Tamandua tetradactyla: one gene and its partner. The protein of the gene in region 1 purifies or fractionates together with the protein of each later gene. This does not show direct contact. Links are inferred from orthologs where the notes say so. Each region holds a gene or a part of one and is shown in the gene's direction. Other genes may lie near its edges.

The links.
Region 2: the proteins of RSRP1 (region 1) and C1QBP purify together in Homo sapiens (affinity purification with mass spectrometry; 3 studies listed by BioGRID and IntAct, counting the BioPlex papers as one, with this or other methods). This does not show direct contact. The link is inferred for Tamandua tetradactyla from reciprocal best matches to the Homo sapiens genes RSRP1 and C1QBP.

The regions. Positions count from the first base shown.
Region 1 is NC_135328.1:200,901,675-200,916,941, forward strand, and holds RSRP1 (arginine/serine-rich protein 1), read left to right. Parts: upstream 1-8,738; 5' UTR 8,739-8,993; intron 8,994-9,255; 5' UTR 9,256-9,292; coding exon 9,293-9,836; intron 9,837-10,509; coding exon 10,510-10,658; intron 10,659-12,188; coding exon 12,189-12,272; intron 12,273-12,862; coding exon 12,863-12,979; 3' UTR 12,980-13,283; downstream 13,284-15,267.
Region 2 is NC_135332.1:59,926,359-59,941,832, forward strand, and holds C1QBP (complement component 1 Q subcomponent-binding protein, mitochondrial), read left to right. Parts: upstream 1-8,214; 5' UTR 8,215-8,301; coding exon 8,302-8,533; intron 8,534-9,118; coding exon 9,119-9,269; intron 9,270-12,851; coding exon 12,852-12,945; intron 12,946-14,158; coding exon 14,159-14,254; intron 14,255-14,480; coding exon 14,481-14,603; intron 14,604-14,729; coding exon 14,730-14,879; 3' UTR 14,880-15,119; downstream 15,120-15,474. Other genes in the region: ATP-dependent RNA helicase DHX33, read left to right, coding at 3,955-4,263; RPAIN (RPA-interacting protein), read right to left, coding at 15,306-15,335.

The DNA.
Region 1 (15,267 bases):
TCTCCACTTTTTTCCCCATTAGGGTATCCTACCCCAGGGAATCAGAGGGGTCAATCCAGAAAGGTTTGTTTTGTGTTTAGGTGGTCCACCAAACAGAGTAAATCAAGTGTGTGCACCTCTTGCCAACAGTTCTACCACATTCCGTTTATTTCCTGGGGGCCTTTTTGTATGTACACACTAGTCAGCCATTTGTATTCTACCCTGGGTCTCTGTAGACTTGTGTCCCAATGCCGGATATACATGGGTTCTAACCTGCTGCTGCGAGTGGCTCTACGGTCTGCATTAACGATGGAAGGGACCCAGGATATGCTGCCTGTGTGTAACTCTTAAGCAGCTGGAACTGAGTGAGGAGGGTGGGTCCAGACTGGCAGGTCTGGGACTTAAATATCCTACCTTTTTTTTTTTTTTTTTAAACTTTCATTCAGCAATGTGGAGTACTTCCCCAGTCTCTCTCTCATACTCTAGGGTTCTGGGCAAGTGGGATTAGGAGATTTTTCTAGGGGATGTCTTACACTGCCATGTTGATGACCAGAACTGAGTCTCAAAAACCAAAATGGGGGGTGTACAGGTGGAGTTCAGTGGTAGAATGCTCACCTTTCATGCAGGAGACCTGGGTTTGCTTCCTGGACCATGCACCCTAAAAAACAACAACAAAACTAGAGACTATCCTAACAGCCAAGAGTGGCTAGAAATTTGTAGCAAATGATCAAAATGTCATTAAGGGACCCATTCTCCAGAAAAAAATGAAGTTCAACATATGAAACTTTGAGGGAAGTTCTGGGGAAAAAAAAAAAAACCTATCATATTTATAACCCATGTATCTCAAGCTCCTTAATAAATGACTTGTATTGCCACAAAGTGAGTGTAAAGAAAATAGTGATAGCCCAAGAATGATTGATGGAATAGAAGAGATATCCTGAAACAGGCTTAAGTATACATGGAACTTAATCTATGCCAAATGAAGCATTTCGATTTAATGGAAGAAAGGAGGTTTTATTAAACAAATGATGCTGAAGTAACTGGAAAAAACAAACCTCAATCCTTATCGCATACCTTATACAACACATATTTCTGGTGGAGTAAAGATTTAAATGTAAAGTACAAAATTAAAATTATTATTAGATAATTTAGAATATGTAACTTTTAGAGTAGGGGAAATATTTCTAAGCAAGTCAGGAAAAACGGAATCCAAAAATGACTAAATAAAAGTTTTAAGAATTTGGTATGACAAAAGACATGAACAAAAACAAAAGAAAAATAAATGATAAAAATATATGTAATACCACAGGACAAAGATTAATATCACTCAAGGGAGTCCAAAAGTACAGATAATAATAGAAATATGAATATAGGAGATGAAGCGGAAATGCACAGAAGTCTAAATAACCAATAAACACATGAAGAGAGGCTCAACTTCACTTTTTTGGGGGAATGAATGGTGCATGGTTTGGGAATCAAACCCGGGTTTCCCGCATGGAATGTGAGCATTCTATCACTGAACCACTTTTAATCAGGGACATACATATTAAAGCAAGAAAGATACTACTTGTTTACCTATCACTTTGGCAAAAATTTATTTTTTTGAAATATTTTTATTGAGAAATCTTCACATAGAGTCCATACATCGTGTACAATCAATGGCTCACAATATATCATCACACTGTTGTATATTCATCACCATGATCATTTTTAGAACATTAGCATCACTCCAGAAAAAGAAATAAAAAGAAAAAAATAAAAAACATACATCCCCTACTGCTAACCCCTTCCTCTCATTGTCCATTATTATTTCATTCTACCAATTTTTTACCCTTTAACCCCATTTATTTTTTATCCTTTTTTTTTTTTTTTTAACTCATCTGTTCATACCCTGGATAAAAGAGCATCAGACACGAGGTTTTCATAATCACACACTCACACTGTGTTCTAGTTTGCTAGCTGCTGGAATGCAATACACCAGAAATGAAATGGCTTTTAAAAACGGGAATTTAAAAAGTTGCTAGTTTACAGCTCTAAGGCCAAGAAAATGTCCCAATTAAAACAAGTCTATAGAAATGTCCAATCTAAGGCATCCCTCCAGGGAAAGATGCTTTGGTTCAAAAAGGCCGATGAAGTTCAGGGCAGAAGATGGCGAACACAGTTAGGGCTTCTCTCTTGGCTGGAAGGGCACATGGCGAACACGGTGTCATCTGCTAGCTTCCTCTCCTGGCTTCCAGTTTCATGAAGCTCCCTGGGAGGCGTTTTCCTTCTTCATCTCCAAAGGTTGCTGGCTGGTGGACTCTCTGCTTCATGGTGCTGCAGCATTCTCTGCTGTCTCTGATTCTCTTCCCTTCTCCAAAATGTTTCCTCTTTTATAGGACTCCAGAAGCTTATCAAGACCCACCCAAATGGGTGGAGACATGTCGTCACTTAATCCAGCTTCACAACCACTCTTGACTAAATCACATCATCCAGGGAGATGATCTGATTACAGTTTCAAACATATAGTATTGAATAGGGAATGGGATTTTGATTAAAACATGCCTTTTCTAGCGGATATACATCCTTTCAAACCACACATACTGTAAAAGCCACATAGTTATACAATCGTCTTCAAGAATCATGGCTACTGGAACACAGTTCAACAGTTACAGGTACTTCCCTCTAGCCACTCCAAAACACTATAAACTAAAAAGGGATATCTATATAATACATAAGAATAACATCCAGAATAACCTCTTAGCTCTGTTTAAAAATCTCTTAGCCACTGACACTTTATTTTGTCTCATATCTCTCTTCCCCCTATTAATCAAGAAGGCTTTCTCAATCCTATGATGCTGGGTTCTTGTTCATCCCAGGAGTCCTGTCCCACACTGCCAGGGAAATTCATAACCCTGGGAGTCATGTCCCATGTAGGAGGGAGTGCAGTGAGTTCACCTGCAGAGTTGGCTTAGAGAAAAGGCCACATCTGAGCAACAAAGGAGGTTCTTTGGGGTTGACTCTTAGGCATAATTATAAGTAAGCTTAGCTTCTTTGCAGAAATAAGTTTCATAGGTCTGAACCCCAAGATTGAGGGCTTGATTTATTAAATTGGTTGTCCTCACTGCTTGTGAGAATATCACGAATTCCCTGGATGTGAAAGTTAAATATTTCCTCCTTCTTCTCCAGTTCTCCAAGGCACTCTGCAAATTTATTTTATTTTATTTTAGTTTTTTATATACCAAAAAACACCAAACAAATGCAAACATTCCTATTTTGATCATTCCGTTCTACATGTATAATCAGTAATTCACAATATCATCACATAGCTGCATATTCATCATCATGATCATTTCTTGCAACATTTGCATCTATTCAGAAAAAGAAATAAAATGAAAACAGAAAAAAAATTTATACATACCATATCCCTTACCCCTCCCTTTCACTGATCACTAGCATTTTAAACTAAATTTATTTTAACATTTGTTCCCCCTATAATTTATTTTTATTCCATATGTTTTACTTGTCTATTGATAAGGTAGATAAAAGGAGCCTCAGACACAAGGTTTTCACAATCACACAGTCACATTGTGAAAGCTATATCATTACACAATCATCTTCAAGAAACATGGCTACTGGAACACAGCTCCACATTTTCAGGCAGTTCCCTCTAGCCTCTCCGTTACATCTTGACTAACAAGATGATATCTATTTAATGCGCAAGAATAACCTCCAGGATAACCTCTTGACTCTGTTTGGACTCTCTCAGCCATTGACGCTTTGACGCTCATTTCACTCTTCCCCCTTTAGGTCCAGAAGGTTCTCTCAATCCCTTGATGCTGAGTCTCAGCTCATTCTAGGATTTCTGTCCCACATTGCCAGGAAGGTCCACACTCCTGGGAGTCATGTTGCAGATATTTTTTTTATTCTCTGCCCAGATTACTCTGGGATATATCGAGGCATCACACTAACCTGTACAAACCAACAAGATCTCACAACTTTGGCAGAAATTTAAAAGATTAATAAAGAATTCAGAATAACAGGAGACATTCTCATATATTTGTGGCTAAAACTGTAAATCACGACAATCTTCTTGGAAAGCAAATGGCAATATATTAAATTACACAGATCCTTTAACCCAGAAATTCTACTTTGGGGGCTTCATGACATAGTAATAAAAGTAGCAGTGAATGATTGTTCATATTGAGGAATAGTTTTGAGTGTGAAAAAAGAAAAAGAAAACCACATGAATGTCTACAAATAAGTAATAATGACACAAGAACAAATTATGGTACTTGTAGGTAATGGAATATTATACAGCTGTTAAATAGCAGTAAATTAATCTACAGAATTTATTTTAAAGGATGTTCATTATAAAGGCAAGTTGCAAATCGGTTTAAAATGGGTTCATAGTCATCAAAAGCTCTATATGTCATATATATGTTTGAAAGAACTTGGAGAATGGTGTGGTAGGATACTCACTGAAATGCTAACACTGGTTACCTCTTGGGAGTGAGGATGGAGTATGGGGACAGGGTACGGATTATTAGCTTTTTCTCTATACCTCTTCGGTTCCTTCATTTGTTACAAGATTAGCTTAGTCATTAAAAGTAATGAAGAAATTTGACCTTGTTGGGGGAAAGGACAACTAAAAACTTTTAAACCCACCCAACAGCATCTAATACAATAAACATTCAATAAATATTTGTAGAATGACTAAATAAAGGACAAAGGATGTAATGGTTAATTTCATGTATCAGCTTTGCTAGCTTATGGTGTCTAGTTGTTTGGTCAGGCACTGGACCTGCTTATTACTGCAAGTGGATTTTATAGATGAAATGTAGATCTGTAATCAGTTGAGTACATGTAATGGGTTGACTGCATGTACAGCTGACTGCATCTACTATCAACTAATGGACCTCAGCAATGTGAGGTCCCTGCATCTAATCAACTGGAGGTCTCAACAGCCAGAACTGAGGATTTAAGAGTTTGGGAAGAATAATTCAGACTTAAATTCAGCATTACTCCTGCTGGAATTTCCAGCTAGACAACTTCCCCTGCGGAAATCAGACTAAGGACTTTAGTGTCATCTTTATTGGTGCTTCTAGCTTTCAGCTCACTTTGCCAGTCCCCACTGTCACATGAGCCAATTCCTTAAAATAAATCTCTTTATAGAAAGATAGATCTGTCTTGTCAGTCCTGTTTCTCTAGAGAACCCTAATACAGGAGGAGAGGAGGAACAGGTTTTAATATGTTTGGTAGGGCTAAAACATAACCATTAATAGCATGGTGAAGCACTGTAGAACCTCTAAATGAATAATGGGAGATGGGAAAAAGATCCTTGATCAAGCTGGCAAAATAAAGTGGGAAAAAGGGAAAAAAGCAAAGAGTAATAAATAATAGACACCAATGGAAGAGACAAAATCAATAAATATAAAAGGGATGACTTTACCTACCAAAGGAAGAAAACTTTCATATAGATTAAAAACTCAGCTAAGTGTTTTCTATTAGGAACACTTAAAACAAAGTGAACATAATACAAAGTGAATATATAACAACAACAAAAAAAGATCATATTCTTCACAAATACCATTAAAATATTTCAAAATAGGCCTAGCAAGATGTGCAAGATGTATATGAAAAAATCTATAAAATTTTAGCAAATTTTGCTGCTGTATCAAATTACCACATTCAGTGGCTTAAAACAACCCAAGCATATTATCTTATAGTTCTCCAGGTCAGAAGTCTCACTGGGCCAAATTGAGGGGTTGGCTGGGCTGCACTACTTCTTGTAGGCCCTAGGAGACAATCTCCAACATCAACTCATCAGATGTTGGCAGAATCCAGTGCCTTGAGGCTATAGGACTGAGGTCTCCAGGTCTTTGCTGATTGTCTGCTGGGAGCTGCCCTTAGCAATTAGAGGCCATTTTCTAGTCCTTGAACATAACATAGCCTCTTACATTTTAAATGCAGCAATAGGGCCTTGAATCCTTTTCATGCTTCCAATCTCTCATCCAATTAGATTAGGCCCACCCAAATAATTCAGAATAATCTATCTCCAGGTCCTTAATCTTTTTTTTTTTTTTTGTATGCTGTATGGCGGGGTCACATTTCATTCATTTTCCATGTGAGTAGCCCTTTATTGCAGCACCATTTTGTTTGTTTGTTTTGTTGTTTCTTTGTTTGTTTGGGAAGTGCTCAGGCCGGGAACTGAACCGGGTCTTCGCATGGCACCTGAGAATTCTACCACTGAACTACCCTTGCACCCCTTCAGGTCCTTAATCTTAATCATATCTGCACAATAGAAGATAACATTCACAGGCTACAGAGATTAAGGCATTAAATAATTTGGGCAAGCCATTAGTCTGTCTACCACAGTAAGGACTTGAAAAAATCTAAATAAATGGAGAAAATTATCATATTCTTGGATAGGAAGATGGACTATTGTAAAGATGGCATTTCTGCCTAAATCAGCCTATAAATTCAGTGCACAATGCTCTAATGACTGAAATTGGATTTCCCATCAGGTGGGTGGGCAGATGCTAAATCAAGATTGTATTATTTAGAGAAACAAAGAAACTCTAGTCTAGCATATTTTAACTCAGCCATTGATTTTCCAATATCCTTACTGTTATTATCCAGGCTTTTTCTGGCCGCCTTTTTTAGGCACTGCAGGAACTTCTGATACCAACTGCAAAGTAATCCTGACTCTATCTAGAGTTAGATCACATTCCACAGCTTCAAGGCACAGTCCTTCACAAGCCTGCCATCACTTAACACACCAGATAAAATTCTGGGGCTCAAGGCCACCTGCACTTCTGACCAACTGGTTACAAATTCAGGGGTTCCCACCACACTCTCAAATAATGTGCTGGAACCACCCACAGAACTTGGGAAAGCACTATAGTTACAATTACATTTTATTATAGCAAAAAGGATACAAATAAGGAACCAAAAGAAGACATTCATAGTGCAAGGTCTGAGAGGGTCTCAAAATTTGAAATTCCCCTGTCCTCTCCCCCGAGTTAGGATGTGACACTCTCCCAGCACTTAGATGTGTATTCCTGATCAGTGAAGCTCATGAGAGCTTTGGCGTACATAATTTTTATTGGGATTTCATTACATAGGCTTGACAGAATCAATGCCCACCTGGTCTAACTTCATGTCCAGTCCCTCCTTCTTCCTGAGAGGCGGGCGGCTCAAAGTCACACTCCTTATTTCCATGATTGGTCACCCCCACCCTGACTCATATCACCAGTATAAACTATCAGGTGTGGTCTGGAAGGCCCACCATGAATAACAAAAACACCTCTAGCACAGAAATTCCATTGATTTAGAGGGTATCTCCCAGGAACGAAAACCAGCCAAATCAAATTCTTTATTATGTAACAGGGACACATTTGAGTGACATTATAAACTGTCCACAAAGATTCCGATAATCATGAACTCAGACTCCATCATCTTATAAACATATTTTCACACTCTTTTCCTCCTAACACATCATTTTTGCACTTATCAAACGTGAAACTCATGAAGAACTTTCAATAATAGTTCCTGGCAAATGGGTACTGTATCTTCTCAACTTACTTGAGATAGTATTTAGCAATATGTCAAGGACATGAGTACACTTAAGAAATTATTTCCATTATGATGCTTTCTCAGAGATGTAGAGGATTACATCTGTGGTAAGATTTTTATTCCCTCCACTTCTGTGCATGTTTGAATATGTGGGGTGAAGATGAACAAAGGAATGTATCTCCCTTTAAAGAAAGTTGCTTTCGTGAAAATATCACTAATTTGTAAAGATGCTCATATAGCGAATAAATCTCCTTACAAAAGTGACCTGTTCATTCAATGAAAGGGGTTAAGTAACTCAGTTTTCAAAGCAACTGTCATGCTTTATCACCATAAATGTTTAGAATGTATCGTATTTGTAAATCCCTGAGAATAAAATAGTTGCCTCTAATCCTCAACACCAAGCACGCTGTCCTCAGAATCGACACCTAAGACAACATTCTGACCTCTTAAAGTCTAACTATGGTTGTTAAATGACTTAGGGTGGAGGAGCCCTTTTTACTTGTGACTGACAATTCTTAAGTTTTTTTAATGCCAATTAGTGACCCAATAGTTCCAGCCCTAAGAAGCATTAACAAACGCTCACTTCAGCTTCTTACTAAACGAACTAATAAGTGGAACGAGCGGCATCACGGATTTGATCAATTTCTTGCTTGCCTGCATTATGTCTCCACACTTTCTTACCTTTATTGGCCGAAACACAGAAGTAAAACACCTTTGGTAAGTTAACTATTACATTTACTGAGATTCTGTGGTCTTCAGGGTCGGGGAGCGGTCGCCCTTTCCCGATACGGGTCGGACACGAGGTAAGAGAAAGGAGCCAGTAAGGCACAGCAAGCATCTGCAGAGTCCCAGAACGACAACGGCGGCTTCTGCCAGACAGGCCGGATTCCAGCCCCAACCTACATGAGGCTCTTCCTCGTTCTCCCGCTCACCCGCCGACTCCCCGCCTGGCACTTATGACCGCCCCCGACCGTGCAGTCGGTCGGGAGCCTGGAACTGCGCCGCGCCGGGTCGTAACACGTTCTACGGGTTTTGGCCAAGAAAACAAAGCATGGCATACAGCCAAACACTAGATGTGGCAGCGCCTCCCTCCCCGCCAACAAGAGCTTTGTCGCGCACGCGCATCGTGAGGGCGACGCGCGAGGACGGGGGGGAGGGGCACGGGGAGAGAAGAGGCGGGCGGTGGTTGGTCGAGAAGGAGCCACGCCCATCGCCCTTACGTTTCTGCGCATGCTCCGGATGCTAGCTTCTAGTATTTTCGACCGCGTCTTTAGATTCAGTTGTCTTTGAGTTCGGACGCTAGAAGTCTCGCGCCGGGTCTTGTTGTTTGGGAAGCCGCTTTTCCTACCAGGCTTCGGAAGGAACGCGTCTGTTGGATCTCTTTAACTGTCTAGAGTGAGGTGCCTGCGGCCTCTGGGAAGTTTTCTGGTGGAGGGTCGGCTCAGCGGTTACCTCAGGTGTGGGCCGCGCGGAAAGTGGGGTAGATCGCGGGACGGGAACGCAAGCATGTTGCGTCGAGCACGCGGCTTCACGGCATTAACGGGATTTTAAGAACTGTTTCTCTCAGGACTAGTACCGGCTCGCGCCTGGCTAGGCCTGCGGCCTCTGGGAGGCGAGGACGGAGGGGCGGAGCAATCGGGCGGGGTGGTGTAATCGGGTGCGGCGACCAACTTCTGGCCTTGATCTTTCCTTTTGTGAACCTTTTTTTGGTTGCTTTAGGGACGTGTTTTCGAGGTTCTTCTCCAAGAAAATTAAGATGAAGTCTCAGGCTGAGATGTCCAACTACGTGAACGACATGTGGCCTGGTTCGCTGCAGGAGAAGGATTCCCCCTCGACGTCCCGATCGGGACAGTCCAGCCAGCGGTCTTCCTCGCGTTCCAGAAGTCGCTCGACTTCCAGAAGCTCTCGGTCCGGTTCCAGCGTCTCCAGTCGTTCCCGGAGTCGGAGCCGGCCCGGGAGAAGGAGCAGGTCACGGTCTCGCTGCCGGAGGCGCCACCAGCGGAAGTACAGACGCTACTCGAGGTCTTACTCGCGCAGCCGGTCGCGTTCCCGCAGCCGCCGGCACAGAGAGAGGCACCGCGGCTCCTACGGGAGGCATTACCGGTCTCCGTCGCGGTACCGACCCCGGAGCAGGTCCCGCTCTCGGGGAAGGTCTTGTTACCGAAGGGCCTACGCGGTCACGCGGGGGCGACGATGCTACGGCTTTGGTCGCACGGTGTACCCGGAAGACCACAGATGTTGGAGGTCGAGATCCAGGACTAGGTCGCGGAGCAGAACTCCCTTTCGCTTAAGTGAAAAAGGTGGGTGAAATGTCGTTGAGAGAGGCGCAGAGTTAAGGTTCTTGTATGAACAGTGTACGAGTAGGTCAGGGAACTAGAGGTAGGTACTGTGTAGTTTCAGTTTATTACCTTTGGTACATGAAAGGTATGTCGTTTGTCACTTTTTTTTTTAATGACAAGATTCCTGGAACGAAGAGAGCGGATAAAAAATTAAGGAAAAAAAAAACCTAAGGAAACGTGATAAAGTATGGGGATTTAGTTAATAGTGTGTTAGAATTGGTTCAACAGTTGAAACAATTGTTCCATAATGTATTAGTGTAAATGTAAACTGGGTGTATGGTACATTGGAACTCTACTGTGCTTGCAGCTTTTCTCTGAAGCCAAACATTTTTTAAGTGTATCTGTACCAAAAAACACCTCAAATTCAAAACTTTTTAGAGAAAGCAAAAAAAAAATATATGAAATTCAGGTCTTTGGTAAGGTAAACTTTTTATTGATATTAAAGATGCTTGTATTTTTTTTAACAGATGAAGATGTTTCCATGAATAAAGTTATACCTTATATTTGGAAATAAAAACAAATCATTCCAGCTCTTCATTGCTGTTCTAAATAAAACTCACACTTAATTCGTGATTTTTTGTCCTCTTGTGGAAATGTTATAGGTTTGATGAGATGTTTTTTTTATTCTTTGCAGATCGAATGGAACTGTTAGAAATAGCAAAAGCCAATGCGGCAAAAGCTTTAGGAACATCCAGCCTTGACTTGCCAGCTAGTCTCAGAACTGTTCCTTTATCTAAAGAAACAAACTGTGGAACAGCTGTACCAAGTGGAGCAAAATTCGAGGTGAGTGTTCCAGGTTTATCCAACCTTTTCAAAAGACTCCTACCAGAAGATCTGATTAGCCAGTTTTATTTATCTTAGACTATCTTCTCCCAAAAGCCAGCTAAATATAATTTGCTAATGTCAAAATACCAGATCTCAGAATGCTAGCCAGGTCTCACCCATGAAAATGGAAGCTTAGTAAACTTTATTTTGGATTGACACTACTAATCACTGTCCTAACACTGCTGATATATTGTAGCTGGTACTTGGTGTCTTTCTATGCAGTTGACAGATTTTTCTAAATTCTAGTCTTCACACAGTGTTTATCTTTAGCTTTCATTTGCGGCAGTATGTTCTCCACCAGTTCTGTACTCAAAATACAGTATAGTTTACCTGCTTTATTTCTGTCTTATAGAAATCTTGAATGTGGTCTCCAGACATTGATGAAGAAAATCTGTTGGTAATTGATACATGGGTTAAAACATAAGAAGTTTAAATAATTTAAAATTTAAATTCAAGCACTGAAAGCTTAGATTTTTGTTGTTTTGTTTTTTTTTGGTAGATTAAATGCATGCTAGAATTTGGGAACAGGTATCAAAAACTAACCAAAGATACACAGTAAAGATGGGGCATCTGTGAATATAGATGTCCCTTTCATAATATATGCAATATGTTCCAGATGTTTTGAGAGATTACAGAAGAAGAGGCCTGCTTCACTTGCAGATAAGTTTATTATAATTCTCAAGAATGTGTAGGATGTGCACTGGCATATGTCTTTTTAAATTATTCATGTAAAATCCAAAGTTTAAAACTCATGGCCTTGGGTGATGCAACAGTAGCGCAGTGGCAGAATTCTCCCTTGCCAAGCTGGAAACCTAGGTTTGATTCCTGGTGTCTGCCTATGCAAAAAACAAACAGAAAAAACAAGAACGCATGGCCTTAAATGTTTTAAGGAAGTTAGGAATTGATATTCATATGTGAATGTGCTTTTACGTTGAACTTTCAGTGCAAAGGTTTGAAGTTGTCTGAATTTTAAAAAAAGAGAAGGAAAAGAATCGCTAAATGTGAAACACAGGCAAAATGTGCTTTCTAGGTGTATGGTGCATTGTGATGCACCTACCATTGTGACCCAGATGTAGGTTTCCTTAGTGTGGTGAGGTTCAGTTGTAACTAGCATTAATAGATATTCTTAGTTGAGTTGCTTATTCAACTTATGTTGAGTTCATCTCAGATCCCCAAAATGGTGAATGTGTTCTTTCTTTGAAGAAATAAAAAAATGCGTTTATTTCTTCATTTGAAGAAACTAGGTATTTTCTGGTATGGCTTTACATTTAAAAGTTAGAATTCGAATAGGCCTTAATCAACTCTGTCATTAAATAACTTTTATTATGGGAAAGCTCAACAGAATATTTGGTTAGGTTGCTAACTATATGATTAGGTAAAACTTTATTTGTTTCTAAAACTGAATTTCTATACTATTAGGCTGTTTTTTATATAGTACTTGCAAGCCAGTGGTGTGTTTTTAAAAATACGTTTTTCTTATCTGTCTAGCTGTCGGAAGAACTTAAGGAAGATGAAACCAAAAATTGTAGTGAAAAATCTTCCCAGCAAAGAAGCATAGCTTTCAGCTCTTATGTAAGTTACCTAAGCATTGGTCACTGAAACATATTTGTATTAATAAGATTTTATTTCTGTTGGAAGACTTTGTGATGTGTGTTCTTATGATGATTTGGGGCCCTCTAAGCTTCTTTGTAAAATTAATATCTTTTATATTTTTGTGCCACTTTTATAAGTGACCCATATAAAGGGCTACCATATCTTAAAATTCATGTTCATAAGTTTTATATTAAAAGCACGTCTCAATGGTGGGCAACCGTGGGTCAGCAGGCAGAGTTCTCACCTGCCATGCTGGAAACCCAGGTTTGATTCCGGGTGCCTGCCCATGTCAAAAAAAAGCAAATCTAAAGATCCCCAAATCAAACTAACTCAATACGAGAAGGGTTTTTAAAAACAAGCTCAAAGTATATGATACCTATTATAATATAGCCCTGTCCATATTTAATTTTTCCAACTTCATTGACTTTGTGGTTTGACTTAAGTTACAAGTGAGTCCTCACTTTGCATTTTAAATCACATTATCATATTTTGCAAAGTATTTTAAGCTGTACATAAAGGTATGTAAGTATGTGTTTGGAACGTTGACTTAATATTTTGTTCTCTTACAGAATTCTGTAGCAAAGCCAATGTTTCAGAGATCATCTAAAGCTACTGTTGACACTTCTTCAGGATCCCCAAAAGTAAATGAGAAAAAAAGTCCATATAGCCTGTGGGTGCCTGTCTAAAAGAAAATCATTGGCTAATGTTGCCTGAAGCAGCACTTTATTGCAAGTTCGTGTCTCCAGCATTATCCTATTCCTATGTTTAGTGGTAATTGTGGTTAAAAGCTCTCATATGAGAAGATTTAAATACTTAACTAACATTTTAGGTTTCTCTTGCAGATGTGAGATAGCACAAATGGACCAGAGACTACATACAGGTGGGAGTCTTGTACATACACTTGTAAATATTTTGTATTTTATCCATTGGTTATGTAAAAATAAAATTTGTAAGACATGATAATTGATAATAAATGTCTTGTTTTTATCATTTTAGTCTCACTTCATTATGTAAATATTATCAGATGGGTCTTGGTTTAACAGAGAAAAATAGGGAAGTATTTCTTGTTCAAAGCCTTGGTACTTTCAAGGTTGGGACCCTACAGCATAGGGCTTTGTGTTGGAAGCTTATTAGAAATGATCACTCTTAAATCCCTTTGTATCTAAACCCACAGTAAACAAGGAACAGCCTTTAACAGCATTTGCAATTTTAATGGTGAATAAATATATGAACTGAAAGACTAGTCTAAATTAGACTAGTTACAGTAATAGTTTTGTAGTCCTTGTTCACTAATGTATTTATACCATTTTTAGATTATTTCTTCAAGTGTTTAATAGATCAAATATTTAAATTGAGCTTAAGGTGCAAGATACATATATTGAATTTAAAAGCCTATTTGCTGAGCTTTAGCAACAAAACCATGTGTCCTTGGTATAGAACTTTGGTTAAAAAAAATCCTATTACAACTAAAAAATAGATTTTTAAGAATGGGGGTCTACTCTTTAAATGAGGGTCTGCTTGGGACTTCATGAATTGCTAACATGAAAAAGTGCTATTGGACAGCTGCTCTAGACGATAACACTGAAAAATATGCAAGACATATGTATGTGTACCTTTCTGGATATATAATTCCTGTTAATAATTATCTAAATAGCTTTGGTAACTCAAGCCAACAGGAAATGGTTTAAATGGAATTTTCTGGAAGAAAGTTATTCTGGATAAACCTTCATTTCACATCCAGGTTAAAGTGAGTTATTGGGAAGGACAATATGTTTCCAAAGGAGAAAGTTTACAATGGCATGTTTGTGTGGAGTCCTAAGGAGAACTGAATATTAGCAAATTGCCTGGTTACAGTAAAAACTGGGGGCAATGGTAGACTTCTTGCCTGCCATGCAGGAGACCTGGCTTCAATTCCCAGCCCATGAACTTATAAAAAAATTTTTTTTCAAAAAGTGGTGCTTCAATAATGGAATGGTCACGTGGAAGAAGAATGAAACGTGACTCCCACCAAACAACATCCAGGAAAAAAAAACTGGCTAATTTTAGGACTTGTAATTTAGTATCAAGCTGGTAATGAAGTTAACTTGAGCATCAAGTTAGTATCATTAGTTGGTATCCTGTTTAGCAAAGTTCCAGAAATTGAGAAGAGACTCTTAAAAAGGAGGCTCTTAAAAGGAGAGACTTGAAGGGAGACTCTTAGAAAATGAATTGATGACGTAATGTTAAAATCTTTTGGACCTTTACTTAGCATAGTAACTGGTGGTGGAGAGAGCACTTTCTCATCTACAAAAGAGGCCTTTTGCTAGTATGGGGTGTGGTTTCTGAGATTTAATTCTACAGGGATCTGTCTCTTCAGTCTTTTTCACCATTGATTTCTTTAGCCTGTTAACATACTTGAGCCTACCTGTTTCTGAAAACCTTTCCTCTTCTCTCTTTAATCCTCCTCAGTCCACAGGCTTGTTCCTTCCAGTATCTTAAAAACAGTATACTTTATATTTTCTCCATTCCCCCCCCCCCCATAATCACCAAGTTGAACTTGTTGATTTGCCAGGACTAGAATGCTCATTAGTTCCTCTAAATCTTTATAATAAGGGATTATGCATACCCCTAAACTAGTCTTCATTACATATAAATGGAATTCAGTTGCAAGTATGGTGTCCTGTTACTATGTATGAGGACAGTGGAGCAAGATGGTCCTGATAATTAGTGAGACTCTAGATCAGGGCTGTCCAATAGAAATATAAGAAGTTACATTATAGTGAAAAGTTTCTTATATAAGAAATACATATTTTTTTATGTACTAAGTCTTTGCAATGCAATCCTGAATTTTATACTTCAAGCACATCTCAGTTTCCACAAGCTACATTTCAAGTGTGTTCAGTAGCTACATGAGAAAACTATACTGAGCAGCACAGCCCTAGGCAGTAAGTTCAGGTGATGTGACATTTTTTGGTGTAGTACAATTTTATCATTC
Region 2 (15,474 bases), on another chromosome or scaffold:
AACAACTGCCTTCTTGCTTCCATGGTTTCTGCTGAGAAATCTGTACATAGTCTTATCAAGATTCCCTTGGATGTGGTGAATTGCTTTTCTTTTGCCACTTTCAGAATTCTCTCTTTGTTTTTGATATTTGACAATCTGACTAGTAAATGTCTTAGAGTAGGTATTTTGATTTGTCCTTCCTGGGGTTTGTTGTGTTTCTTAGATCTGTAACTTTATGTCTTTCGTAAGAGCTGAGAAATTTTCCATGCTTATTTCCTCCATTAGTCTGTCTGCCCCTTTTCCCTTCTCTTCTCTTTTTGGGACACCTATTACACATATATTTGTGTGCTTCATATTGTCATTCAGTTCCCTGAGAGCCTGCTCATATTTTTCCATTCTTTTCCCTATATGTTCTTTTGTGTATAGAAATTCAGATGTTCTGTTCTCTAGTTCACTAATCCTCTCTTCTGCTTCTTCAGATCTGCTGTTGTAGGTCTCCGTTGTTTTTTTTTTCATTTCTTCTACTATACCTTTCATTCCCATAATTTTTGCCGTATTTTTGTTCAAACTTTTGCATTCTTCTTTATGTTCGCCCAGTGTCTTCTTGATATCCTTTATCTCTTCTGCCATATCTTCCCTCAATTTGTTGGTTTGGGTTGATGAGATTTTGCATAGCTGTTCAAACATCCTGAATTTGTTGTTTCAATTCCTGTATCTGATTTTAAATGTTGGTTTGTTCCTTTGGGCCATATCTTTGATTTTCCTAGTATGACTCATTATTTTTTTTTGCTGCTGTCTAGGCATTTGATCTCCTTAATTAGTTTATTTGGGAGGTCATTTTCACTCTTACCTAGGGTTTTCTTATTTGTTGGCTCTGTTCTCTATCTGTTGTTTGGCATTCAGTTCAACTATTTCCAGACCTCTAGCATAGCTTCTGTTTAACTGATCAGAGTTTTTCAGCTCTTGTTTTTCTGGTTCTTGGTCTGCTTATATGCAACCATTTTTTTGAGGAGGGTCTACTCAGATATGATCAACCCCAGTCAGATTTTCTCAGACTGGACAGGTCCATGTCTCAGGTGGAGGGTGTAATCAGTATCAAGTTTCCCTGAAGGTGAGACCCAGCAGGTTGTCAGACTTTCCTATGAAGCCTCTAAACTCTGTGCTTTTCCTATCCTGCCCAGCATGTAGCTGTTGTCAGCCCGCAGCATCCCACCAGCATAAAGTGATGGGGTTCCTTTCATTCACAGCAGCCTCTCACAGCCAGTGGTGTGGTTGAGACAGAGGCTGAAGTAGGAGGTGTGCTTAGGTTGCTTTTGTTTTCCAGTGGGGCCTGAATTCCCTGAAGGGGGGTAGTCACTGACCTGGGCCTCGCCCCCCTTTTCTTGGGGAAGATATACCCATTAGGGAATTATCCCCATTTATTTGACTAATTATTTTGGTTCTCAGACATGCCTTAACTCCCCTCTTCCCTGGGGCAGTGCTGGAGCCTGAAAATGCCCGCAGTTCTATCTAGTGAGCTGTTATACAATGTGGAGAAAAAAAAAAAAAAAGCCTTTTCAGAGCTGGACCCCAGCTTCCCAGGTTTGCTAATCAAGAGCTGGAGTTGGTACAAAGCTCTGTGTGTCCCCAGACTCTGTGTGCCCCCTTTTCTTGGGGTCCAGCCCTTTTCCAGTATTTTTGTGTGTGTTTGTTTGGTTTGGTTTGGTTGCTGTTTTTCTGTCAGCCCCACCCCTCTCTGCCAAGGCAAAATCTCTGGATTCCTTTCGTACTTACTCCAGATTTATCTGTGCTCAGGGCCTGTTTTCAGCAGTCTGAATTTGTTAATTAATTCTGCAGTTAGAGCTTGGTTGAGCTACCTTCCTTGCTTCTGGTAACATCTCTTTCTTTTTCCCTTAGGGGACCAGCCTGCCATGCCCATAGGGGAGGGACACTGGCCTCTGTGGCTTGGGAGAGTTACTGTTCCGTGTGGGATCTCAGCCATTGCACCTGTTCCAGACTGGTGTACGCTGTGTGTCTGGTCACTGGTGTCCCACCAACAGTTGTTCCATACTCTTCCTGCCTATTTACTAGCTAGCTGTTCTCGAGGACATACTAATTTCCACACCCCACTACACCGCCATTTTGCCCTCAAAAGCTCCTCAGTATCTTACGGAACAATCTAAGGGGAGATTTGATAGCTATATAGAAACTCATGTAAGGAGGCAATAATATTTATAATAATCAGTCTTTTACGAAACATTTATTAAGGTGCCATTCTGAACAGTTTTCACATATTACCTTATTTTAAATCTTCATTTCATTCCCATAAGGTTGATTTTCTTCTTATTTTCAGTATACAGATGATGAAACTAGGGCCTAAGGAAGTTGAGTAATTTGTCTAAAATCACACAGTCAGTGAGTAGGAGCTAACAGTGTGGACGGGGAGACCAGTTGGCCATAGGAATCTGGGCTTCGTGGAGGTGGTGACAGCTGAGCTGTGTCTTGACAGACAGGGAGATGCAGAATGTCTTCATCAGGCAAAGAGGGGCTATTTGCAAAAATCAAAACTCCTTGACCCATCTTCAAGGGAAAAGGGGGGAATTATTCAAATAGAGTCAAGCCCCACAAGGCACTGGAATAAGGAAGTAGAAAAAGCCATCAGAACCAGAGCAACTACTGCTTTTGGACCTGCTTATCCTTTTGCTTTGGCTGCTCTCTGTGTGCTTCCTTCACTCTTCTCTCCTACCTCAGCCTGCAGGTGATTGTGTCAGCCCCAGCTCTACATGGCCTCTCCATGAGATTGATTAGATTCTCTATGGTCAAACTCTGAATTCCTGGAAAAGAGAAGTTGATAGGCCTGGCTTGGGTCAAGCAAGTATCTACCACTGTTCTCTTCAGCTGTAGCCAGGAACATGAGGTTACGTGGTCCACTCAGTAAGGGCAGTAGAGGGGCAGTTTCAACTTAGAGCAGTATCTGCAAAGGATATAGGAAGACAAAATTGGTGCCGCAACCAGCACAGCTCAGTGTCGGGACTGAAGAGAGGTGACAGGGAATTAAGAAACAAAGGCAAGAGAAAAAAATATAGTTAAATCTGGGACCAAGTGGGATTCTGAGCTCTGATGGAGACTCAAAGACCCCAAGAGGTTCAGCACTGCTTGTTTTATAGGGCTAGGAGGTAAAGAAAATAACAAATGTGTAACTAAAGAATGGGGAAGGAGGAAGCACAGGCTGAACCATCTGCTTCCCTGTGCCTGGATGAGTCAAAAGTTCCACGTTTCCCAAGGTTTCCTTCTGTCCCACGTTCCAGCAGCTTTGTAATACTTTAGTCTTTTCAGGACATCAGGTGCCTATTCCCACAGAGACAGCTTTGCTATATCACTGCAGCGAGCATGTAACCTCTGTCTCCAAATTGGGTCTAAGGAAGAGGAAAACAATTCATTTCCATAGATCATAAGATACCTAAGGAAGAGTGAGAGAAAAGACAGGCAAAGTGGGCTCCTGGTGGCTCAGCCAGATTCAGAAATTGGAAGTTTGTGGGGTTTTGCCAGTGGCAGTGGAGAGCCATTGAAGGTTTTTGAGTGGATGAAAAACGATTCGAGTTGTGCTTTAGGAAGAATAATTTGTTAGCAGGGTGTAATAAAAATTGGAGAGAAGAGATGATGTTGTCAGAGTGAGAGGAAAAGCCTTTCTTTTCTGGGAAGTCCTGGTAGATATTTAGGTGAGGGGGTGGGATGTCGGGCGACCATCCTGTCTGTAGTTTGGTAGCTTATATGAATGTCTCCTTCCCACTTACTCTCCCAGGCTGTAGTTTCAGTTCTTCAGCCATGCCTTCTTCCCATACCTCAGCTGAATCTCAAGGCATTGGACTATCAAGATCCCTTTTTTGAGGCTGGCAGTATGGGCTGCCTTGTGGTTCCAGTTGCTCTAAATACTGTGTTGTGGTGAGCAGTATTTATGTTTAGGTCTTTTCTATTTCTCACTTTCTCCTCCAATAGATGTCCATGCCAATCGTGTCATCCCGAGGCGATATGGAGAGCGTCCGCCGCTGTCTGGCACACAGCCTTTTCATGAACACTGCTGAGCTTCAGCCAGATGGGACCTATGCCACCACCGACACGCACCAGCCGGTGGCCATCCACCCCTCGTCTGTCCTCTTCCACTGCAAGCCAGCCTGTGTCGTCTACACTGAGCTGCTCTACACCAACAAGTGCTACATGCGAGACCTCTGTGTTGTAGATGCCGAATGGCTGTTTGAAGCCTCCCCTGAGTACTTCAGGAAGAAGCTGAGAACTGCCAGAAGCTGAGCTACCTGAACACTGCTGGGATGGCTGCTTGCCTGGGAGCTCGCATCAGAGCTGTCCTCATAGAGGCACCCATGTGGGCTCCTAGAGAAGTGGAGACTTTTAATCCAGCTGGACAGGCCTAACTTCCAGGAGTTTGAAAGCATCTTTCTAAGACTGAAGATTGTAAATGTGTACATGCATCTGTACCACAGAAACTTCATCATTTTACTTTCAGTTCTTTGGTGGCTTTGGATTATTTAGTAAACTTCTGAGCCTCAGTTTCTTCATCTGCCAAATGGGGATCAAAATAATAATGATGATGATGATGATAATCCTCATAAGGTTATAGAAGTTGCAAAGTTTAGAGAAAAATAATGCAAAGTGCCCAGACCTGTGCCTGGTGCATGACAGACACAATAAATTTGAGCCATTATGATCAGTGCTTTTTTAATATGCTGTGAATTGAGTGCAACAACATCCTGCAAGTTTTTGTGACTGTGAGGGCGTGTTTTCTGGAAGAGAGCCATTGGAGGCCGCAGAGCTTGGATCTGTTTTAACTTCCATCTGTAATAGAAAACATCACCCCTCTCCATCTCAGTTTCCACATTTGTCAGAGGGGATTAGAGGATCTCTACAGTCTCTTCCTGTTTTCCTGCTTTGAGAAGGGAAAGGACACCAAAGGTTCTTCTTAGCTATTTAATTATCAAAAGCAAATGATCTTTTCCCAGTGGAAAAGCCAAGATTTAGCCTCCTGTTCTTGTGTGCTTAATTGGCCTAAACATATCTGTGTGGTGTTTCTGTGGAAGTTTCAAGAGGGAGGCTGTCTCCTACCTCATGGGCTGGCTGCCCTGGCGAAGTCTCATTCCCTGGGGGTGGACCTTTGTGTGGCTCTCTCCAGGCAGAGAGCAATAAGGGAGAGCTCTCCAGTCGCTAGGCCATGCCTACCCCCTAGAGTCTCTCCAGCCTGGGTGCCTCTGGAGCATGCTGCTATCAGTGCTTCCTGGAGACAGGTAGTTTCCTGGGTTAAGGTTGATTTTTATCTTTTGCATCATGTCCAGTGCAGGCACTGGAAATGAATCTTATAACATGATGGCCTCCAGCATACCGCTTGTCATGTTTCTCTCTAACTGGGCACATATAAACATGTGAATATAATGAATGATGTCATGCTCTGTTTCAGCCATTCTCTTCTGGCAGTGCCTCTGGCACTGGTCAGAGCTGTGGGGAATAGGGAGATACACAGTCTGTGAGACCCCAGAGAGAGAGAGAGAGAGAGACTGGCTTGTCTCAGACCACATTTGGTCTTCATATTCTTATATCTTATTTTCTACGATCTTTTATCTGCCTCTTAGGAATTTGGGGACAACCTGGCTTTGCTACTTTCTGTGGGCCAGTCATCCCTCTCCAGCTCAGTTTCCATATTTGTCAGAGGGGATTAGAGGATCTCTACAGTCTCATCCTGTTTTCCTGTTTTGAGAAGGGAAAAGGCACCAAAGTTTCTTCTTAGCTATTATCAAAAGCAAATGATCTTTTCTCAGAGGAAAAGCCAAGATTTAGCCTCCTCTTTTTGTGTGCTTAATTGGTCTAAACACATCTGTACGTGTGTCTGATCATTGCTTACAAGTTCAAAGTGAGTCCTGCAGTTAAAAGCATGGGGCCAAACTGGGCCAAAGAGGCTTTTCACTCTGGGTCCAGCACGCTCTTCTCAGGGACCACAGCCTCGTGGAGTGCTTCCAGGTCATAGACCTGTTCATCAGGAAGCATGCCAAATCCGGTTCAGTTTTTACAACACTAGCTGCGGTCTTGAGTATTCAAGCTTTTAGCCAGTGTTCAGGGGTATCTGGGAGGTTGTGATTTATTTTTTAACAAATAGTTACATTTAGACCAAATAGGATTGACAGATCCTGTAGACCCCATCTTACTGAATCTTAGCTAACTTTTCCTCAGATTGACTTGCTATTACTGCTGTTGACTTTCTGAAAAGTTCCTTTTTTTTTTTTTTTTTTAGGTGTATTTCTTTTTTCCTTTATTTGATATAGGGCTAGGATGTTTACCCTGACTTGGTAGAAGCAAATGTATTTTTCTGTGCTCGTAAAAAATTGTTCTGGTAAAATAAAACTCTGCTGGTAAAAAATTGGGGAAAGGGTGATTATATTCCTTGGCAAATTATCTCTATAGCCAATCTCTGATTCAAGTCACACTTAACTTGGAGTAGTATATGTCCAGTTTAAGTACCTGCACAACTTCCAGAAATGTATATTCTGAGTGGGAGGAAGGCATAAAGGGTGTGACCAGCTTCTGCACAGGTTTAATGTTTCTGTACAGAAATAGTTGTACCTCTGTAACATTTTGTTGGAGTTTTAATATAGTATTTACTTTTTACTGAGCTTTTTCAGAAGTTAATTTATGACATAGCTGCTCAGGGATTAAATCAGATTGGAAAACCCATTCTGACTCCACATATTACCACAAATAAGTAAATGGTTATTTATATTGAGCTGCAGGGAATAGTACACTTTAAACTTTCATTAAGAAAGTTAAATATTTCAAAGTGATATTAAAATATAATCTTGAGCTACCCTTTTTCAATTGGTAAGATCTCTGATGGTGTGATACCTGTTTTCCAACCTGTAAAATCTGTATCTGAACTAGTCAATCTCTAGCTCCCATGAGCAGCTTGATGTAAATAGGTGCACTCCAAGCAGATTACATGCCTCCGATGTTTTTCTTCTATTTCCAGTCATGATGTGTGAAACATCCATAGTAACACAGATTTCATTACAAGGGGAAGGACTACACATACTGGGTCCTTGGTAAAAACCCCTTAGTGTTGCATCTCTGCTAGTTTTAAAGAGATACCAGAACAGAGAGGCAAGCTTTTGCTCTGAGGGTAAACACAATTATGTATTGTGATATATTATACAACTGCTTAATACGGCTGCCAGGAACTGCGGCCAGGCAGCCAAGATACCATTCCTTGATCATATGAAGAAGCCTGCACCTGTGGGACAACAAAAATTTTAATGTATTTTATTTGATCAGACTATTATAGCTTGAAAAAGAAAGAAAAATCTCTAAGAAAAATAATCGAATTGGTTCAGATTTATATTGTATTTTGAGAGGCTGCTCTTGTTCAGACAGATCCTATAGAAACATAAGCTCTTGTATATAATGCTCAGATTTGCACATAACCATAAAATCCATTAAAAATGAATCTTGTACATGAGTTGTGTGGCTTTCTTGCGTCTCCTTTCTCTTATTCGCAGAAAGCTGTTTAGAATACATTAGTCTTATCTTTACCACTCATTTGGGAAGACATACTTTTTTAGTATCCTATATATCCACTGTCTCCTGGGAAGTTAGGAACATTAATTCTTAACTACATCTGATGTTACCCATGGTTTCTTGACCCTAGAAAAATGAGGTCCTACCAGAACTTGTATGTAAGACAGGAGAAGGTGGGAGAGAACCCCACATTAAAATCATGGATCTTGCTCTTCAGAAACTCAAAGCCAGGTGGGGTGCAGGGAATCTGCCAGTAAAGCAGTAATGCCAGGAGGTTACTACTGAAGGAAAAATAAATCCTAGGGGCTGTGGGCACACAGGCTACCTTATGGGGGTGGTGGACAGTCCAGGAAGACCTCTTAAGGGAGGTGACCTTGGGTCAAGTGTTGAGGGAGTTGTAGGAGTATTGAGGGTGGGGGAAACGACGAGCCTGTACAGAAGTCACAGAAGACCAGGCGCGTTTTGAGAATAGTAGATGGAAATTTGGAGAATTAAGCAGCCACAGGGGAGAAGAGACGCTGGCGAATTAAACAGAAGGCCTCTGATCAGACGGGCTGACTCAGCTCAAGAATTAGGAACCCAGAGGCTCACTGACGGGAGTCACCCAGCAGAGGGCGCGATTTCACCCACGATGGGTTCCGTTTTCAAAGCAACTGCTCCGGAAGCGCTTCCCGCTCCAGGGCGGGACTTCCGGCAGCGCGTTAGGTCACAGGGCGCCTTGGCCCCAGTCGTCCTTAGCATTCGCACGTGTTGCTCCTCGGCTTCACAGTCGTGATGCTTCCTCTCCTGCGCTGCGTGCCCCGTGTTCTGGGCTCCGGAGTCACGGGCCTCCGTGCCGCCGCGCCATCACAGGCGCTCCGCCAACTTCTCCAGCCTGCGCACCGGCCGTGCACCCGGCCCTTTGGACTGTTCAGCTTGCACGCTGGGTCTGCTCGTGGGCCCGGCCTCCTGCGGTCTCGCGGGCCCTGCGGCTGCGGCTGTGGCTGCGGCGCACTGCATACTGAAGGTGAAGTCTCGGGGCCTGGAGTCAGATTCCTAGATGGGGTGGGGGAATCTCAGGAGGGAGAGGGAAACTTTAGGCCGGCACTTCCCGTACCCGCCCCCGTTTGTCAGTGCTTTTAAGTTGTAAGTTAAACCTTCCTGTGATCACATTTCCCCTCCGCCCCATCCACCAAGTATTTGACTAATTGAAAGAGATAAAATCAAACCCTGGAGGTCGACTTTGTACTTAGTCTCTAGAAGGTAAAACTTTGGGAAGACCCAAGGTCGTGATTGGAAGTATGGTTGTGTCTTGGCAGGTTGAAGAGGAGGATTGTTTTACTTTATAGTGAAACGAGGTAAAAAGTTCATTGTTAGAAATAACTGTCCCGGAATCGAGGTCAGCTTCCCACTGACAGTATTATGGCATTTTTACAAATGAGGAAACGGAGGCTTAATGAAGTTCATTGGGCCAAGTTCGCAAAGCAACATTTAATAGCTGAGATTAGAAACAGTGCAAGTTAATATGTCTAGCTGCGATAATCTGGGTCATTGTTTTATGCTTTATGCTGATTGCCTTTTCTTTTCTCTGTCATCTGTATTTTCGCTCTAGGGGATAGAGCTTTTGCTGAATTCCTGAGTGATGAGATTAAGGAAGAGAAGAAGATCCAGAAGCATAAGTCCCTCCCCAAGATGTCTGGAGGTTGGGAGCTGGAAGTAAACGGGACAGAAGCTAAATTAGTGCGAAAAGTTGCTGGGGAAAAGTAAGTAGTGGGCTGGAGGCCTGGGAACTCCAGGGGACCAAATCCATGACCCTGAAGGACTTGCCTTGGGTCATCCTCAGAACAACCTTGAGTTAAGGCAAGAACTTTGATATATGACTTTAAAGAGAGAGGATTTATTTGGACAACTTCATAAGGTGTAGTTAGCTCATTCACTGAATACAAATTTGCCCTGGACCAGTTATGGAGACAGTAAGGAAGTAATACAAAAGTATGTGGCTCGAAGTCTACTGGACTAGTAGAGATAGTCATTCAGTAAACCTTTACTGCTCAAGTGGCATGCCCTTCCTGAATTTAGGCAGGCAAATTTAGAAATTCAGTTAGTGCTAATGAAACAACATAATCAGTTTGATGTCTGGTTTATAGTGCTGACTGAAATGTTCCCTGGCTTTATGGCTCTCAATGCATACAGCAGGGGAAAATGTTAGATATGGAGCTCATCTGTAACACCAGTGGGTTATAGTATAATTCACATCAAACTGTTGTTTGTACTTATTTACATTATAGTTATCCAAAATCCCGTTACACAGGTAAGCATTTGTTCTAGTTTGCTAGCTGCCTGAATGCAATATACCAGAAACGGAATGGCTTTTGAAAAGGAGAATTTAATAAGTTGCTAGTTTACAGTTCTAAGGCCGAGATAATGTCCCAATTACAACAAGTCTATAGAAATGTCCAATCAAAGGTATCCAGGGAAAGATACCTGGATTCAAAAAGGTTGATGAAGTTCAGGGTTTGTCTGTCAAGTGAGAATGCACACGGCAAACACGGTCAGGGTTTCTCTCTTGGCTGGAAGGGCACATGGCGAACACGGCGTCATCTGCTAGCTTTCTCTCCTGGCTTCTAGTGTCATGAAGCTCCCTGGGAGGTGTTTTCCTTCTTCATCTCCAAAGCACTGGCTGGTGGACTCTCTGCTTCGTGGTGCTGCAGCATCCTCTGCTCTCTCTGAATCTCCTATTCTCCAAAATGTTACCTCTTTTATAGGACTTCAGAAACTAATCAAGACCCACCCAAATGGGTGGAGACATGTCACCTAATCCAGCTTAACAACCACTCTTGATTTGGTTACATCTCCAGCAACACGATCTAATTACATACAGTATTGAATAGGGATTATTCTGCCTTTACGAAATGGGATTTTGATTAAAACACAGCTTTTCTAGGGTACATACATCATTTCAAACCTTAGATTTTTTTCCCCAAAGATGTGTGCTTTTAGAATTGACATACTATATATATAATTCTGTATCCTGCTTTTTAAATAATATCTTTGAGATTTAGTTTATATACCATAAAATTCACCCTTTTAAATGTACAGTTAGTATTCACAAAGTTGTGTTTCAGTCACCACTATCTAATTCCAGAACATTTTCATCACCCCCCAAAGGAAACCCTGTACCCATTAACCATCACTTCCCCATCCCTCCCTGACCCTAGTCCCTGACAACCACTTGTCTACTTTCTGTATCTATGAATGTGCCTATTCTGAACATTTCATATAAATGGGATCATATAATAGGTGGCATTTTGTGTCTTGCTCCTTTCACTTAGCACAATGCTTTCAAGATTCATTGTATGAATTCCTTTTTATGGCTGAATAATAGCATTTTATTTATCCATTCATCAGTTGTTTGGACATTTGAGTTGTTTCTACTTCTGAGCTTTTATGAATACTGCTGTTGTGAATATTCCTGTAGAAGTTTTTGTGTTGACACATAATTTCATTTATCTTGGGTATATACCTAAGGAGCAAAATTGCTAAGTCATGTGGTAATTGTATATAACCATTTGAGAGAATGTCAAGGTGTTTTCCAAAGCAGCTGTACCATTTTACATTCTTATCAGCAATGTATGAGAGGATTCTACTTTCTCCACATCCTTGCCAACACTTCTTATTGTCGGTCTTTTTTTATTTGAGGCAGTATAATGGGTATGAAGTGGTATTTCATTATGGTTATTTATCTATTTTTGTTTTTGTTTTCATTGTGGTTTTGATGTGTATTTTCCCAGTAGCTAATGATGTTGAGCATCTTTTCGCATGCTTATTGGCCATTTGTATTATCTTTGGAAAAATGTTCAAATTCCTTGTCCAGTTTTAAATCGGGTTGCTTTTCTTTTTATTGCATTACAATAATTTTTTATATGTTGTATACAATTTCCTTATCAGCTATATGATTTGCCAGTTTGCTCCCATTCTGTGTGTTGGCTTTTCATTTTCTTGATAGTGATCTTTGATGGACAAAAGCTTTTAATTTTGACAAATACCAGTTTATCTGTTTTTCCTTTTGTAATTTCTTCTTTTTATGGCATATAAGAAACTATTGCCTAACCTAAGTTTACAAAGATTTAAATTTATATATTTTTCTAAGAGATTTATACTTTAGTTCTGTGTTTATGTCTGATCCATTTTGAGCTCATTTTTTGTAGATGATGCGAGGTGTGGGGTTCTGATTCTTTTTTTTTTTTTTTTTTTTTTTTTTTTTTGCCTAATGGTATAATGTGTTCTATCCTATACATAGATCAATTGTGTATTCTGTATTTTCACCTAAACCATTTTCGTCGGGTTGCATAGTGAGTCATAGCCAATTTTTGGCTATTATAAATAATGCTGTGATGAACGAACATCACTGCATTTCTGTGCTCAGCTCAGTTTATTCATCAGGGCTGTGGGAGATTAGACAGATTTTTGTGGCTGAACTTTAAACTACTGTTGTTCCTATGGGAAAGTGACTTCCTGGCAGGGCAGCCAGCTAACACAGCTCTAGGGGACAGCCTTTACCCTGGGTTTTTATGCTCTGAGACTGTTAATTGTGCCCCAAGAGGTGCTCTTTACATGAATTAAATGTGAAGTTTATCTGCTGGAGTTGCACAGCCAAGCAGTTCTGATTCTAAATCTTGTATCATCAGAATATTGACTCAACTTTGGAACATTACTTGTTTGTACCTTAAAATTGCTCGTACCTTAAAATTGTCATTAGTCAGTGTTTTTAACCAGTTTTTTGATTGTAAAACCTCCCACAAGTACTCTGAGGAATTGTTCTCTGTGAGGCCTCTCCTTCCTGGGGCCGGAGCTGCTCTTGGCCTCTAGTGCTCTTTCTTCCCTTCTCAGGGGCAGGTTTTGCAGTGAAGAGCTCTTAAAGGAGCTACAGTTCTACTCCACTAGCTTCTCAGATGCTGCTGGAGCTAAGCAACTTGCTTCTACAAGTTGGCAGTGTCAGCTGGCCATGGCCATGAAATAAGCAGTGGACAGATGGGGACTGTGATACTGGGATGTGGACCTGTCACAAGTAGCTCATCCATGACTGTAGCTGGCTGAGCTGAATGAACTAGTGCCTGTTAGTTTGACTTCCAGCAGCTGGCACATGGTAGACACACTTCAGACCTACTGGAACTCAGGGTTGGATGTAGGCACACAAGCATTTTTGGAAGTTCTACAGACAATTCAGGTGCACAGCCAGCTAGGACAGAGACATTGTTTCAAGCATTTTTTACTGTAGCAAGTTTTAGTACTTGTGTATTATTAAGACTACACCACTTCCGTTGTGTTTTCTTTTGCCCTTCTAGGGTCACTGTCACTTTCAACATTAACAATAGCATCCCACCCACATTCAGTGGGGAGGAGGAGCCCGCACAAGCGCAGAAGACTGAAGAGCCAGAGGTGAGCTTGTACCACTCTAACCAGACTTTCCTCAGAGTTCAGGCAGGCTAGAGGAGGGACTTAGCAGATAAGCATTTCCTTTTTTTTATTCCTCTAATGCTAGAAAAGAGAACGCAAAGGAAAACCATCCTTGGGACTTTTGTAGAGTATCAGAGCCAGCAGTTTGTTGCCAGCTTTAGCCCTGGAACTGTGTGGCACCTTTCCCTTCCCAGGGACTGAATTAATTGCTATCTGCAGGCCTCGGCTTTATAGTTTGACCAGTTTTCGTTCTCTGAACAACTGAAACTGTCTTACCCATCTAATGATGGGGGGACGTTTAACACTGGAGACTATAGTTTACAGTGCTGAGGTATAGCTAACATGTGATAGGCTAGTTATAAATACCCAGACACTTCAGCCAAGGTAGATGTTAACACTTGGTGGGATCTTTCTTTACTGTCCATCTTGGTTAGACCTGGATGGTGCCCAAGCTTTTCAGACATTTTAATAAGCAGTGTGCCTGGCCTAGAAACCAACCAGAATCAGGGCCATAGGTTCCCCAGACTTTCTGACTAAGCAGTCATCAGTATTTCCTTATGACCTAGGTGGAGAGCACAGCTCTCTGGCATGCTTTTGTCTCAGCCACCCCAACTAGCATCTCCCTGACAGTATACTCCAAGGGCTCATCATCAAAAGAAGTGCTGCTTTTTATTCAGCCATTTGGATGACCAGTTAGTCAGTTGCTCCTGCCTTTGATCTTGGGCCCTAATAAAGGAAGAGTCCTGAAACAGTCAAGGCCACCTTTAGAATGTACAGATGGAAAAACAGAACCAGGGAAATTAAGGATTTATCTAGAATTGCAGTTAACTGACACATAGCTGGGGCTGGGATCCAGATTTCTTAATTCTAAACCTACTGTGTTCTTTAAACAAGTAGGTACTAACAGATATTTAAACATTTTACTAAACATTTGATATTCTGCCCTCCAGAAGGTAGTTTAGAACTCTAGAAAGGATCAACTGGAAGAGTTTAGGCCAGTATCCTGAATGAGCTAATATGTGTGTGGCTTTAGTACTCTATATTAAAGATTCTAGGCTCCGTATTTGGGGACAATATAACATAAGACTTATAAAAATAGCTAAAGAATATCCTAAATGGTGTTGGTTTTCAAACTCAGCTATCTGAGACCTTTGCAAATAATGGCCTGTACTGACTGCTTGTTCTTATTTCCCAGCCTGAATTGATGTCAACACCCAATTTTGTGGTTGAAGTTGTAAAGAGTGACGGCAAGAAGGCCCTTGTACTGGACTGTCATTATCCAGAGGACGAGGTTTGTAGGGTGGAGTGCTAGCCCCTGGGGACAAGGAGTGCCTCCTGGGACCTTCCTGGTCCTTCTTAGTAGATGCTTATGCCTTTTAGCTTAGATCAGCAAAGTGGGGAAAGGGAGAGGGAGGAGAAGCAAAGTGAGTTTCAAACTGTAAATCATTCCTTTTCCTTGCATGAGTCTGACTTGCCCAGGGGAGCTCTTCAGTTTCCCCAGTATTGTTTCTTCTCAGGTTGGACAAGAAGAGGAGGACGAGAGTGACATTTTTTCCATCAGGGAAGTGAGCTTTCAGTCCACTGGCGAGTCTGACTGGAAAGACACTAATTACACACTCAACACAGATTCTCTGGACTGGGTAAGTGCTTGATGAATAGGGGATGCTCTTGGGCCTTGCAGGGGAGGGTCCTAGTCCAAGGAGAAACAAAAGCATTTACAGATGGAGTCATTTTTTTAAAACTGGTAATGGTGCTCCTCTTTTTAGGCCTTGTATGACCACCTAATGGACTTCCTTGCAGACCGAGGGGTGGATAACACATTTGCAGATGAGCTGGTGGAGCTCAGCACAGCCCTGGAGCACCAAGAATACATTACCTTTCTTGAAGACCTCAAAAGTTTTGTTAAGAGCCAGTAGAGCAGACATTGGAAACCTTCTTTTTAGGGCAGGCTTTGGCCAGTGAACAAAGCATATTCCTTAGGCCAGACATATATCTGCTTTGAGTTATCAGCCTAATATCATGGAAAACTTTTCAAATTTAAATTATTTCTAATACACTCTTGTTTACTATTCATTTGTTCCTTCCCTGTAAAACTTTCATTTTTAGATTTTTGTATGCCATAATGATGGAAAATAAAATTGGTTTTTCTCCTTCAAGGTAGTTTCTCATTTCTATTTCTATTCCTTCCCCTTCAACCTGCAACACAACACACCCAGAGCAGAGACATTTGAAACATTTTTAATACAAAATAAGTTATAAATAAAAGGTTTATATATACAAAAGGCCCTTTCTGAGATGGAATAAGTTGTTTCCAACCTAAGAATGATGAGTCAAAGCTGGCTTCAGAGGATAACAGCCCAAGTATCACAAGCCTGGATTTAAATTGAAAAAAGTTACTTTAAAATTGTATTCAGTTAAGAAAATTATCTCAGTATACTAAAAGTTAACAATCAATCATGACATTGATGCTACAATTAGAATTCCTACAGACGAGATGACAACAATCTTTCA